Drosophila melanogaster: one gene and its partner. The protein of the gene in region 2 interacts with the protein of the main gene of each other region in a biochemical or structural test. Each region holds a gene or a part of one and is shown on either strand. Other genes may lie near its edges.

Region 1 (5,063 bases), on a different chromosome or scaffold from region 2:
AGCCACATTCGCACATAATCGTGAAGCGAAAGGGACGGTGATAGCGGTGGGGAACAGAGAGGGGTAGTCGTCAAAAAGCTCATTGAAATCAATTTAGACCAGAGTGTGTGCGAAGAAGAGGAAGCAGGCGGCGACGACGACGATCAAACATTAACCCAACCAACACTCGCCACACACTCGCATAATCCAAACAAATTGTTTTCCCCCAAAACTTTCTCGTGATATTTCGCGGGTGTGAAAAGAGCCGCGGCAGCTGGACACCTCACCCTCTCGCTTCCTCTCACATCCACCGATTTTCTCACATTTCTGAAAGGTTTTCGCGTACGCTTTCCTATTGTTTATTTGCATTTATCAGTGGAAAGACACAAAACAGTTGTAGAATTTTTGTGGAATTAGCAAGCGAATGGCATACCGCAGACCGAACCACGCGAAGTACGAAGCGGACGGAGTCAAAAGTCAAAACTGAATGAACTTCCAACCTGGAAGATACTTCTCCGGCTAACTGAAGCCGGGGAGGCTGCGACCTCGCTTCCAGCCAGCCACACACACTTCCAGCGCAGAGCGAGAGGGAGCGACTGTAAGAGGGAAACAGAGCACGCAGCACTATGTGGTGGGGATGTAAAAGACGTCACCGGGTCAAAGGTGCTAAAAATCCACTATATATGTATCGCACGGTGTACTCAAAGAGGAGTTACTCTATTCATTATTTTTTTTAAACTATAAATAATTTAAATAATTTATTGAATCATTATTAAAGTCTAGCTTTAATTCGCTGAATGGAAGTTAAAAAGTATTGAATTATACAAAAGACTGATTTGAAGCAAAGTGTGATTTGAACCTATACATATGTAAATCTTTGAACTATCCGATTTTAAACTGCTACAGTAAATATATCCTTAAATAAACATAGAGAACCTTAACATTTAGTAGCATAAAAGTGCCTACTACTTGAAAAAAACGCTTTTAAAACTGCTTTTGAAGCAAGAGTTGGGTATTCAACGTATCTGGCCAATTTTGCTGATAACTAGCAGTTGTTTTGACTCTTTTTTACCAAATCGGAGAGACAAAAATGATTAAAAAAATAAAAACAACAGCAAGCGAAAGGCAAAAAAGAAACGACAAGTAAAATAAATGAGGCAACAAGCCGAAAGCAAAAGAGAGCCGAAAAACCAAAAGCAGCAGCAACAACAACTAGAGAACTTGGACTTACACAGCATCCAAAGCCAGACAGAAAAGCAGACGGAAAGAGAGGGGGCGAGTGGGAGTGGGGGTGGCGAACGGTGGGTAGTGGGCAGAGAAAAAGGGATAGGGCGACGGAGCAAAGCAAATATGCGAGAAGAGAGACAATCGTGGGTTCTCCATCGACTGACAAAGCTAAGAGGGAGAAGGCACTATCAGCAGGGCGCCCATTTGCATGTGTGCGTGAGCGGGGGCGCAGCAACAGCTTGTGTATGTGTTTGGGGGCTTGGGACTCCAAGGAGTCAAGGAATTTTACAGGAAAACTACCGCAACCCGTATGAAAATTACAATTACTGGGGCATACACAAAGAGAAAATGTGATCTGTGCTATGAATTTCAAAATAATTTTTGTAACTCCAAGAAATAGCCAACTAAACTGAAAGAAATACTATTGAACGTTATTTTTACAGATTTTTAAATATATTTTAAAACATTTATAAAAACATTTTTAAGGTTTCTTGGGTTAATTCGCAGTGACATATTTGCTTTAGAGATAAAAAAAATCTCAAAACTCATTTAAAATTCAAAACATAATGAGAACGTACTCTTTGCTTCTCAGTAGTAATTTTAAAAAAACAGTAAAGATTGAGCAAAACGAATTTGGGCTTTTCGCTTTTGCTCAATCCATACAAAAATAGCTATCAATTCATTTTAGGAATGTCCATTTCGACTTTCAGTGTTGTAGTTAATGAAACAAGATTTTATTCAAGATCACTACACTTCTTTTATTCCCGTGCAATTGCATATGTGTGACGACAAAAGAATGAAAAAGAACTTGTCGAGGTCGCACGCACTCACACACACCACACACTGTTTACAGGAGAAAGCACCTGCAATTGATAACGGGTCGCCAAATGGTAAATAGTACAAACAATGCATACGCAAGGTGTCCAATTAGACCACTCAACGGCAATTGGCTTTTCGCTGCCCCTTATTTGCGTTTTACCGGAGTTGCAATGACGTACGCACGCACACACACACATGCGTATAAAAGCGAACGAGTGAGAGAGACAGAGAGCCCCCACCGCAAACATACAACCACACACACACTCGTACACGCTCACACCGTTATGTATGGGAAAACGTCACGACTTCCAAAGTGGAAAATCGTACGCGCATTTTTTTTGTTTTCCTTTTTCCACGGCTCGGAATCGAAGGTAAAACTTGCCGCAGCGCACGTCACATAATTGCCATTCATGAATATGTTTTTAGCTTCCGCATCTCGGTGGCCATTCGAGATGGCCGCGTGGGTCACGAGCTCTTTTATTGCACTCTATGCTGTGAACTGGTGGAAGCGCATATCGTGTCACGCGCTCATCACTGGAAATAGTTGCTCACCACACACACACATGCAACAGCGCTGCTGCTGCTGTGTTGTTGTTATTCCGCTTTTCTTTCAGCCTCCGCAAAAACAACAATAACAACACTCACAAAAGCTGGTCAAATACAAAACACACTTGTAAATTTATTTAATCTTCGCTCCACCGTTTTTTTTTTTCGATTTTTTCATACGCTCTGGTCGCGCTTACACATTACGATTTCTATCTCTCCGCTCTTCTTCATTTTACTTGATTTCCATTTGTCGCTTCCTCCGCTTTTTTTTGTATTTCGCTGGCGAGATTTCTTTTCACGTTGAATTTATACTATATTGCATTTATATTATTGCGCTTATCACTGGCGCTTTGTTGCTGGCTTCTTGCCTTTCGCTTACATATTATATTCACTTGGTTGGTGTGTGTGTGTTTGCACTGAACAATCGGATGCGGATTCGAAATCGCGTGGGCGCAGCGTGCGACGCGTAATTTTGCATTTAACATTTAACATGAACACACATAAATAATCGCCCTCGGCTGTTCTATTGGAATTTTTTTCTGTTATTCGTGCCGTCTACGGCGATTCTGATTGGACAACACCACCTGCTCGCGAAGCAAAAACTCGGCACCGACTCAGTGTGGCCGTGTAGCGAAGCAGACAAAATGACGAAATCGATGACGACTGCGAGACAACTCTGTGGAAGAAAGCGGATATTAGCCAACACTAAATGCAGATTTAAATTCGTTACATATTTACCAATACAATGTACATTCGATTAAAACACTTAAATCTGTAAATGAAAATTATATGTGTGCTTTAGACTTGTTGAAAATATATAAACAATGTTTAGCCTGGAAGCAAACAAAGAAACAAAACATTAAATTTATAGTAATAAAATAAAAGTTAATAGCTTGTAAGATTTTGAAGTCCTCTCTGCATCAATTTACAAGGCTTAAAGTCTTAACAAAAGGTTGGATTTCTCTGCATACTTTCAGGCGTCCATCAAAGAGTATATGGTAAGAATCAGAGCAATTGCTTTAGTAAAATACTAACCAATGAGTCATTATTTCCCCAACTTTTTGGAGCTTAGAGATAAAGTTGGCGCTTTTGGCTGGAGGATTTTTTGGGCGGCTCCGCGGTTTGGGGTCTCTGGCGTATCACCCTGGTATTCTGGGGCACCTGTCGCACTTTCTGGATCAGGATGGTCTTCGGAATCTCACGAGCCTCGTACCATCCGGGATTTACGGCTTTGACCCACGAACTGGCACAGCACTCGAAGCTGCTCAATAGTTTTGCCACACCGCCAAAGGAGACCATTTTTCTTGAGAAATAAAACTTAAAAAATCTATGGAAAATATAGAACAATCTGAAAACTGGATTATGTTCACTTGAAACTTGTAAATGAAATGAGTTTATTTGATTGTCTGTTCATGAAAGTCCTTTTCGACGCTTGCTTTTGTAACGGAAATTTCTACTTCCTGCGCAGCTTGGAATACGCACGAAACCAAGTGGCATCTTGGAAGGACCCCGTCCATGAATGAATGCCTTCCAGCTGGCCGTTGATTCAACTTTCCACCAGCAGCCACCTGAATGAAAATGGAGCCGGGAATTTCACTACACCACTAAAACGGAAATTGCGTAGGTGGAGAGAGAGAGAGAGTAAGAATGAGCGAGAGGACCAAATGAGTTACGCACCAGGAGTCGCGTGACGTCATTTCAAAGTTTGTGCACCACTGCGAGAAACTAAGGAATATATATAAGACAGAATTTAAACGATTTAAATTAATTTGAAAACCATATTTTGAAAATACATTTAAGATTGAAAGTTTTATATTACTTGAATGGACAAATAAATTTTTTTTTTTTTTTTGATAAAAATATGTTGTTTATCACAAGAATGAACAAAATATTGCAGTTCTATAGCCTTATAAACAAACATTTCATAGCAGGCCGTTTACCAATTGTCAGGGTTTTTCCAATAACAGATATGGCACCAAAAGTGCATCCAAAATTTTCAATGAACCCACAAGCCCCAATTAAACCAGAAAAAAAAACTATTCAACGGCAAAGCAAGCCAGCAGAAACTTTCAGAGTCAGCAGTTGAAGAACAAAACCTCAAGCGAATCAATAAGAATCCATTAAATCCAGCATGGTTCGGAGAAGGGTACTGACTAATTCGGCCAAGCAGGCTTCGATGAATGCCTATCAGCAGCTGTGGCAGCAGCAGCAATTCGCCCGAGCTCCATTAGTTGCCGCTATGCCAGAATATTGGCATTCCGTGTGCAACAAATTTGGTGGCGCCATGCCGCGAATGGCGGTTTTAGCTCCGCCGGAAGTCAGTAGCCGGAAATTGAGTCGTTTGCGAGGGCAGCTAATGAAATCCCAGCGAAAAAGCGCTTCGATTCAGAGCTTCATACCAAACTACGGACTGCAGCAGCATCCTCAAATGCAATTTCAAAGGGGCTATCAAAACGCCAGCAATGGATCCTATCCAAGTCGAAGTGTTTCTA
Region 2 (7,744 bases):
CGCTAATGGGCGCCTTTGTCATCACAGACATGATAAACATGGTATGATCATCTGTCGTCCATTCCCTCAATTCGCCCAACGATTCTTGTGCCTTTGCAGATGGCCAAGTCCACGGACCTGGACAACGACATCGACGAATTGATCCAGGAGTTCGAGGAGCGCCGCAAGCGGGTCATCCTGCACTCGGTGCTCTTCTACTGACGACCGACGTCTGCTAACAGTTCGTGTCCAGCTCCAGCACCAACACCAGACTCCCGTAGCCCCGACGCGCTCCAGCCGAGTCACTCGATCTTGTACCCCAGGGGCTGCGATCGCAGAGCATAGGACGTCGGGCATTGCGCGCAGCGCGTGCGGATCCTGGGTTCCGGATTGGTAGCCTAGCATATAAGAATACTGTAAATAGAGAGGGGCCATCGCTGCAGCGAAAGCACATCCAACAACGACCAGCACCCACACACTCGCATACTCCAAACACCTGATTCGTAATCCACATCAACACCACACATGCAAGCAACTGGCTAATGAATTGGAATATAACACACAACCAATGACGACCATTTCCACACGGCTGCCCCCCAAAACCCCTGTAGTAGTATGTGTACGTGTCCGTATTCCTTGTAATTTCGCCCGTCGACTGGGGGTCTTATCACAGGCTCTCGCTTCCCTCAGCTGGCGAAGGCGCCGACCATCTGACTCCGACCCGTTCTCCCGTTCGGCCGCTCTGCCGCTCTCTTCGCCCGGCTTTGAGTCCGATTCGGACTCAGATTCGGATTCGATTCACATAAAGTGAAATCTCGCATCGTGATTGTGTGAATGAGCATGCACGCCAGAGAGCCACACAGGGGCGGAACGGTCTGGGCCCTCGCGGGCAGGGGCCGCGTTTTTTAATTTTACACAGTTTTACCAATTGTTCAGACAGGGCAAACCCGACCGACCTTGGTTGGGGCTGTGCGTTTTAAACCAAAGGCAAAGGCCCGCAACGGGCGCTAGCTTGCAATAGAAAATAAACAACAGGGGAGTTGTGTTCACTAAGGATTGGAATAAAAGTGCACGCCAATTTATGCCGGTTTCTTGTTGACGGCCTGTGTCACATTTACCCTGCGACCTCAAACCTGCCTAGGTCTTCTCTTCGACGGAAATACCATTGATTACGTCTCATCCCACTGCTACCTCGGAGTTCACCTTGATCGGACGCTGAGTTGGAAAGCCCTTATCACGGCTCCTGGAAACTGAAAAAGCTGGACTGGGTTTTCCACTCAAGCAAACTCCATATGGCAACTAAGGCTCTCTTAATAAAAGCCATATCCAAGTGTGGGGAACAGAGTATTAGAGTAAGACAATCGGGAGCGGCACGACATGCATCTGGGCTACATGTGGTATGTGAGCAATAGAGTTATTGAAGGGGACTTAAAAGGTGTCCCATTGGGGTACCAAATAAACTTCCATAGCAGCCGATATGCCGACAGACTTAGCGCCCACTTAAACACGTTAGCGAATGATCTTGTCGACCCTATTTCCCTCCGATGTCTGAAGAGAATACATCCCCATGAACTCCTTACACGTAATATAGCATAATCTCTCCTCGGTACATTTGTATACACTATAATTAAGGAACAGAATCCATAATATCTTTTAAGCTACACATTAGGTTAACTTCAGAAGGAACTGATCGATTCCTACTGACTAATGAATAATAATAAATGATTTAAACTCTAAAAAGAAATGTTGACGTTTGCTCGTTTTCACTGACCAAATACGACGTGATTCTAGGTAGGATTAGAAATTGTAAGGGTGTTGTTTAGTAATGTGGGAATCATAATTCTAGCATAATTTCATCATTAAACTCATCAACGCATCAGATCAATGCTCTCAGATTAAACAGTTTTATTTCCATGTTATACTATGATATCGTATTATTTGTATATTTATGTGTTATCCATCAATTCCATTCACATGTAAATCCAGATCGAATGGGCCCCCGCGCGCACTGAATCCGCTCCTGTCTGCGATCAGCTGCGCAGTCGGGGTTACAAAGCGTCTGCTGCTTTAGCTGTTGTTGCTGGTGTGTTGGTGTTGTTGCCATTGGCAGTGCTTGCTTGGGCGTTTGTTTGCTGCGGCGGTTCGCGCCGCGCTTCAGTCAGTCAGGGAACGATCGTGCTTATCTTCATTACTACTACCGCTTCCACCGAGGCTTCGCGACTCCGTACCCGTACTCGCTTTGTTTTACGTTTGCGCTACTAGTTAGTGAATCCGACGACGACGACCTGCGCGTGCGATTAAAGCGCCGCAACTCTTTGTAATTACACAGCCAGAGCCGCAGAGGTTGCTCAAAATCCAGCGACTGGAGAAATCGTATATCGAGTTGGAAATCCGAATCGAAAGGCTTGCGTATACATAGTTGTCACACTTTTGCTTTTAAACAGAAAAATCCATTCACATTCGGGTCAAGATGGCAACGCAAAAGGAAGGTGAGTATCGCAGCTTTGGGCAATTGGTATCGAATTGGATTCCACACCGCGTACTGTTACCAATTCGATTTTCGGGCGCGTACTTGCCGCGATCACTGTCGCGCCAGGTGGACTGGCTTTCCAATCGGAATCCGATTGCGAGTGCGAGAGCCAGTGCCAGTGCCAGTGCCCGTGCCAGTGCGCCCTTCAAATGTGCTCTTCGCCTGGCACTGGGGGTCACCTACAAAAAGCAGAGGACGCGGACTCGGCCGACTGTCTTCTTATCACAGGAGAGGCCACACCGCTGCTCCGCTCCCGCACCCGCACCGCTCTCTATCATACTTTCATACTTCCACTCTCCACTACCACTGGCCACTCTCCACCTGTCACTCTTACTCTCACTCCTCCACGCCTACTACTCACTCCCCCAACTACCCATCCAGCCGAGCGATGACGTGTGGGCGCCGCTCTTGGCCATCGGACGGGCTTGGATCCGAGCGGCCAGCTAAAACAAACACTCGCTGCGTGCTCCAAGATTAGAACCCGGCAATAGCAATAACCTTTGGCGGCAGCGCGAACTCTCCAGTCCCCAGTCCCCAATCTCCGTTCTCCACTCTGTGGCAATGACATTGGAACGCATGCATGTGTACATTCTACGCACGGTTAATTAGCTGCCCACCTGCGTTCTACACGAGAAGCCTTTCCAAACAGAAACCAAAAAAAAAAAAAAGAAAACAAAAACAACAGCGGACAACAAATGCAAACTCGCTTGGCGTTAATAATATTCAAACGCGTTACCTTGCTCACCGCCTATTACTTTCTCCCTTCTCCACTCGCCCTCTACATTCGGCTGCTCTCCATTCTCCAATCTCCATTCTCCTTGCCCCAATGCCTTCGCTTCGTCTGTGTCAATGTCAAATGCGATGCGGCCGAGATTACAGTCGAGCTTCGATAAGTGAAACCAAGCTGAGTCAAGCAAAAATGCGAAGACTTGAGCAAGCAAGGCAAAACAAACGGGAAATTAAGACATATGGCAAACTCAAAAAAAAGGTTAAAGTCATTTATGTTCCTGCTAGGCAAACACCACTGTCGGCTTGTGACTCACAATCTCGGCATTTGAAGGAGCTCGCTAGCCTCTTAGTCACCATCCATCCATCCACCAGCACCATCCAACTCACTGGCTGTGTAATCTTTCGAAGCTCCTACAGCCGAAAAGTATGCATTACCGGCGTTCGCAGAGATCGGCCTCGGAATTAGGGTTAAATTCCAGCTCAACTCATATCTTCGGAGAGCCCAGGTAGCCCGCCGTAGAATCACGTGATTCACCGAGACCCATCCACTTCGACATTTAAACGACTCACAATGATTCTCAAAAACGAACGCAGTGCCCCATGATGTTTCCAGAAGCTCATATTATCGAAATCTATATTTTATGACACCGTGACAGTGCCTGCATTAGTGGCTCGCAACCCTTTTTAAACGACACACAATGATTCTCAAAAACGAACGCAGTGCCCCTCCTCCATTCATTTTCCAAAAGCTCATTATATCGAAATCTATGTTATGACACCGCGACAGTGCCTCCATTATTGGCTCACAACCTTTTTGAAACATTTTCCGAATGATTTTCCTATGACCTCTAAGATACGAACGTGCACACATTCAAAATCGGGGAGCTTTAGGTTTTCAAGATTTTGAGATTTTTGAACTTTTGAAAAAGTCTATCTACATACTCGTAGTTATTTTTAGAGATATACTACAGAGGTTTACTAAAGGCTAGTTACTAGTTTGCAAGAACAGTATCCCTAGTAGATCACATAGCAGCAGATCAAGTATATATCATCCATTAAGCATACAACACTGTAATCTCTTCCGATCTGTGCGGGAAGTGATGCCATCGTGGGTTCATCTGATCATCCGACCGATCGCATTCCCGCCACGCGATCGACTGATGCTGCCCGTTCCGAAGCCAAGTTTGGATATACGGTGAATAGTGATGTATGTACATACATACGTCCGGAGCACTTGGCTTGCACTTTGTGCCCAAGTTCGCCTCGCCGTCGACGTCGCTGCCGGGTTCATCGCTTACACCTTGTTAAAGTCGACCGCAGCGCGGCGATTTATTCGTTTTGTGCAACCGCATCGGAAGATACGCGCGTGCACCTGCTCCACCTTTTACACCTGGCCAAGCTTCCGCCACCTAACCCAGTTCCACCTGGCCCAGCCCACAGCTATCCGGGCATCAATTAGCGCCCGCTGCGGAGGTTGACCTCTGGCGGATTCTTTGGCCAGTCATCGGGATCGAATCGAATCGAATCGAATCGAATCGGATCGGATCGGATCGGAGTTGATTAGACAACGGACCCCGGTCTTATCGAGTGCTTATCGCTCCCCCTTCCCTTGACATTGAATAGGCCTTCAAATAGTCTGCATTCGGGCCCAGACCATCAGTTGCCTCCAGGCCCTCGGTGAGTCCTCACGCAGCTCATTCTGACCAACCAATCACCAACCATACGGAGTCGATGAGTCCCCCGGTGATCTATGCAAGCCAAAGGGCAAGGTCACTGAAAATTCCCGCACATCCTAAAGCTGATAGCATTTTTTTTGTTTTTCTCACTGTGCAACTAACAACTAAGAAGTAGAGAACCCCTATACCATTCTCACTTTATAGTTTAGCAGTAAAAGCAATGCATTTAAGGAAGCTATAACTATTTCTAGTTCATTTAGTTCCCTTTGATAAAGTTTTGACAGTTGAAAAAAGTTACTTAGTGAAAAAAACAAGTAGAAATTCCTGGATATCCACAGAGCCACAGAGTAATAGTCTTAAGTGGAATTCAAAGCCAGAGTAAGCCTAACCAGATCCGCCTTTCATATGTGCCCACAGATCACACCGCCCTGGATCTCATAATCAAGTCACTCAAGTCGCCTACAATGGTCTGCGAGGGAACCCACTTTGACGGCAAGATTCCGCACACGTTCGTCATCTTTGGGGCGTCGGGCGATCTGGCCAAGAAGAAGATCTACCCCACGCTCTGGTGGCTCTACCGCGATGACCTGCTGCCCAAGCCGACCAAGTTCTGCGGCTATGCCCGTTCCATGCTGACCGTCGATAGCATCAAGGAGCAGTGTCTGCCGTACATGAAGGTGCGTTCGGGATTTGGTCATAGGCCATTTGCATCGCATTAACCCAACCCATTGCCACACAGGTCCAGCCGCACGAGCAGAAGAAGTACGAGGAGTTCTGGGCCCTCAATGAGTACGTGTCCGGCAGATATGACGGACGCACTGGCTTCGAGCTGCTTAACCAGCAGCTGGAGATTATGGAGAACAAGAACAAGGCCAACCGCATCTTCTATCTGGCCCTGCCGCCCAGCGTCTTCGAGGAGGTGACTGTCAACATCAAGCAGATCTGCATGTCGGTCTGGTGAGTATAAGATCAAGATCAAGATCCAGATGCATTTAATTTGAAACCCGATACTTATGTACACCTATAACCCGTTCGCTTGCAGCGGTTGGAACCGCGTGATTATCGAGAAGCCTTTCGGCCGGGATGACGCCTCCTCGCAGGCGCTGAGCGACCATCTGGCCGGTCTGTTCCAGGAGGATCAGCTGTACCGCATCGATCACTACCTGGGCAAGGAGATGGTGCAGAACCTGATGACCATACGCTTCGGCAACAAGATCCTCAGCTCGACGTGGAACCGCGAGAACATCGCCTCCGTGCTGATCACGTTCAAGGAGCCCTTCGGCACGCAGGGTCGTGGCGGCTACTTCGACGAGTTCGGCATCATACGCGACGTGATGCAGAACCATCTGCTGCAGATCCTCTCGCTGGTGGCCATGGAGAAGCCGGTGAGCTGCCACCCGGACGACATTCGTGACGAGAAGGTCAAGGTGCTGAAGAGCATCGAGGCCCTGACGCTGGATGACATGGTGCTGGGCCAGTACCTGGGCAATCCGCAGGGTACAAACGATGATGCGCGCACGGGCTACGTGGAGGACCCCACCGTTAGCAACGATTCGAACACGCCCACCTACGCCCTCGGCGTGCTCAAGATCAACAACGAGCGCTGGCAGGGAGTGCCCTTCATCCTGCGCTGCGGCAAGGCGCTGAACGAGCGCAAGGCGGAGGTGCGTATCCAGTACCAGGACGTGCCCGGCGACATCTTCGAGGGCAATACGAAGCGCAACGAGCTGGTCATCCGCGTCCAGCCGGGCGAGGCCCTGTACTTTAAGATGATGACCAAGAGCCCCGGCATCACGTTCGACATCGAGGAGACGGAGCTGGACCTCACCTACGAGCACCGCTACAAGGACTCCTACCTGCCGGACGCGTACGAGCGTCTCATCCTCGACGTCTTCTGCGGCTCCCAGATGCACTTCGTCCGCTCGGACGAGCTGCGCGAGGCGTGGCGCATATTTACGCCCATTCTGCACCAGATCGAGAAGGAGCACATTCGGCCAATCACCTACCAGTACGGATCGCGCGGTCCCAAGGAGGCGGACCGCAAGTGCGAGGAGAACAATTTCAAGTACTCCGGCTCCTACAAGTGGCACGGCGGCAAGGCGGCCACGTCCAATCACTGAGCGTTTGGAGCACACCAATCCCCGGGCTGGGTTCGCAGGATACTCCTCTCTGTCCGCACGTACATGTACATACATACATATATATGTATATATACATATATGCATTCTTTGGTTATTTGTAATTCGGTCTGTACAAGATTTTTTTTTATTAAATATACAAAATAGTGTTTAGCTGGAGCAGAACGATCTTCTAACTCATAATCCCGGCTAGTTCGATGTGTATGTGGTGATGCCGATCGCATGCGTGTCGATGTACATAAATAGATCCTTCATAGGATGGCAGATGGGTGGCAAACGTAACCCTACGGTTGTAATACTAACTAAATAATGAGTATGCTTCTGGTCAGTGGGCTTCGGTGCTGAGCCGGGCTAGTTACTAGCGGCTCCTCTCGAATATAGATTTACAGGCGAACTACAACAAGAGCGGGCAGCAATCTTCCCGAGAGATTTCAGCGCACGGGTGGCGGCTTGATGTACCCATCGCCGCAGGGCGCGCCTATTGCGCTCATGGACACATACTGATTGGTTACGTACGCATCGGCCTGGGGCACGGGCTGTGGTCTGGGCACCTCCTGCAGCTCTATCTCCGGCCACCTCGTGGGCTCCTCTTCCGCAAATGTCACGGTTTTGCGCACTGTGCCGTAGAACTTCTCCGGCGGAACATTGGCGGGATAGAACAGGCGTACATCGCCAAGTGGATTTGCTGTGGG

The links.
Region 1: of the proteins of Zw (region 2) and Sik3, one has a biochemical effect on the other in vitro, tested with the Drosophila melanogaster proteins (one study listed by BioGRID).

What each region holds. Positions count from the first base shown.
Region 1 is NT_033778.4:18,686,256-18,691,318, reverse strand, and holds the start of Sik3 (Salt-inducible kinase 3), read right to left. Parts: upstream 3,188-5,063; 5' UTR 2,769-3,187; exon of another isoform or gene 2,671-2,768; intron 1-2,670. Other genes in the region: CG42855 (uncharacterized protein), read right to left, coding at 3,640-3,870; CG44433 (uncharacterized protein), read left to right, coding at 4,703-5,063.
Region 2 is NC_004354.4:19,665,153-19,672,896, forward strand, and holds Zw (zwischenferment), read left to right. Parts: upstream 1-2,099; 5' UTR 2,100-2,449; coding exon 2,450-2,468; exon of another isoform or gene 2,469-2,594; intron 2,595-4,569; exon of another isoform or gene 4,570-4,915; intron 4,916-5,187; exon of another isoform or gene 5,188-5,261; intron 5,262-5,331; coding exon 5,332-5,591; intron 5,592-5,653; coding exon 5,654-5,871; intron 5,872-5,956; coding exon 5,957-7,034; 3' UTR 7,035-7,201; downstream 7,202-7,744. Other genes in the region: Ssu72 CTD phosphatase, read left to right, coding at 1-41, 100-201; et (eye transformer), read right to left, coding at 7,484-7,744. UniProt on the Drosophila melanogaster protein: Cytosolic glucose-6-phosphate dehydrogenase that catalyzes the first and rate-limiting step of the oxidative branch within the pentose phosphate pathway/shunt, an alternative route to glycolysis for the dissimilation of carbohydrates and a major source of reducing power and metabolic intermediates for fatty acid and nucleic acid biosynthetic processes.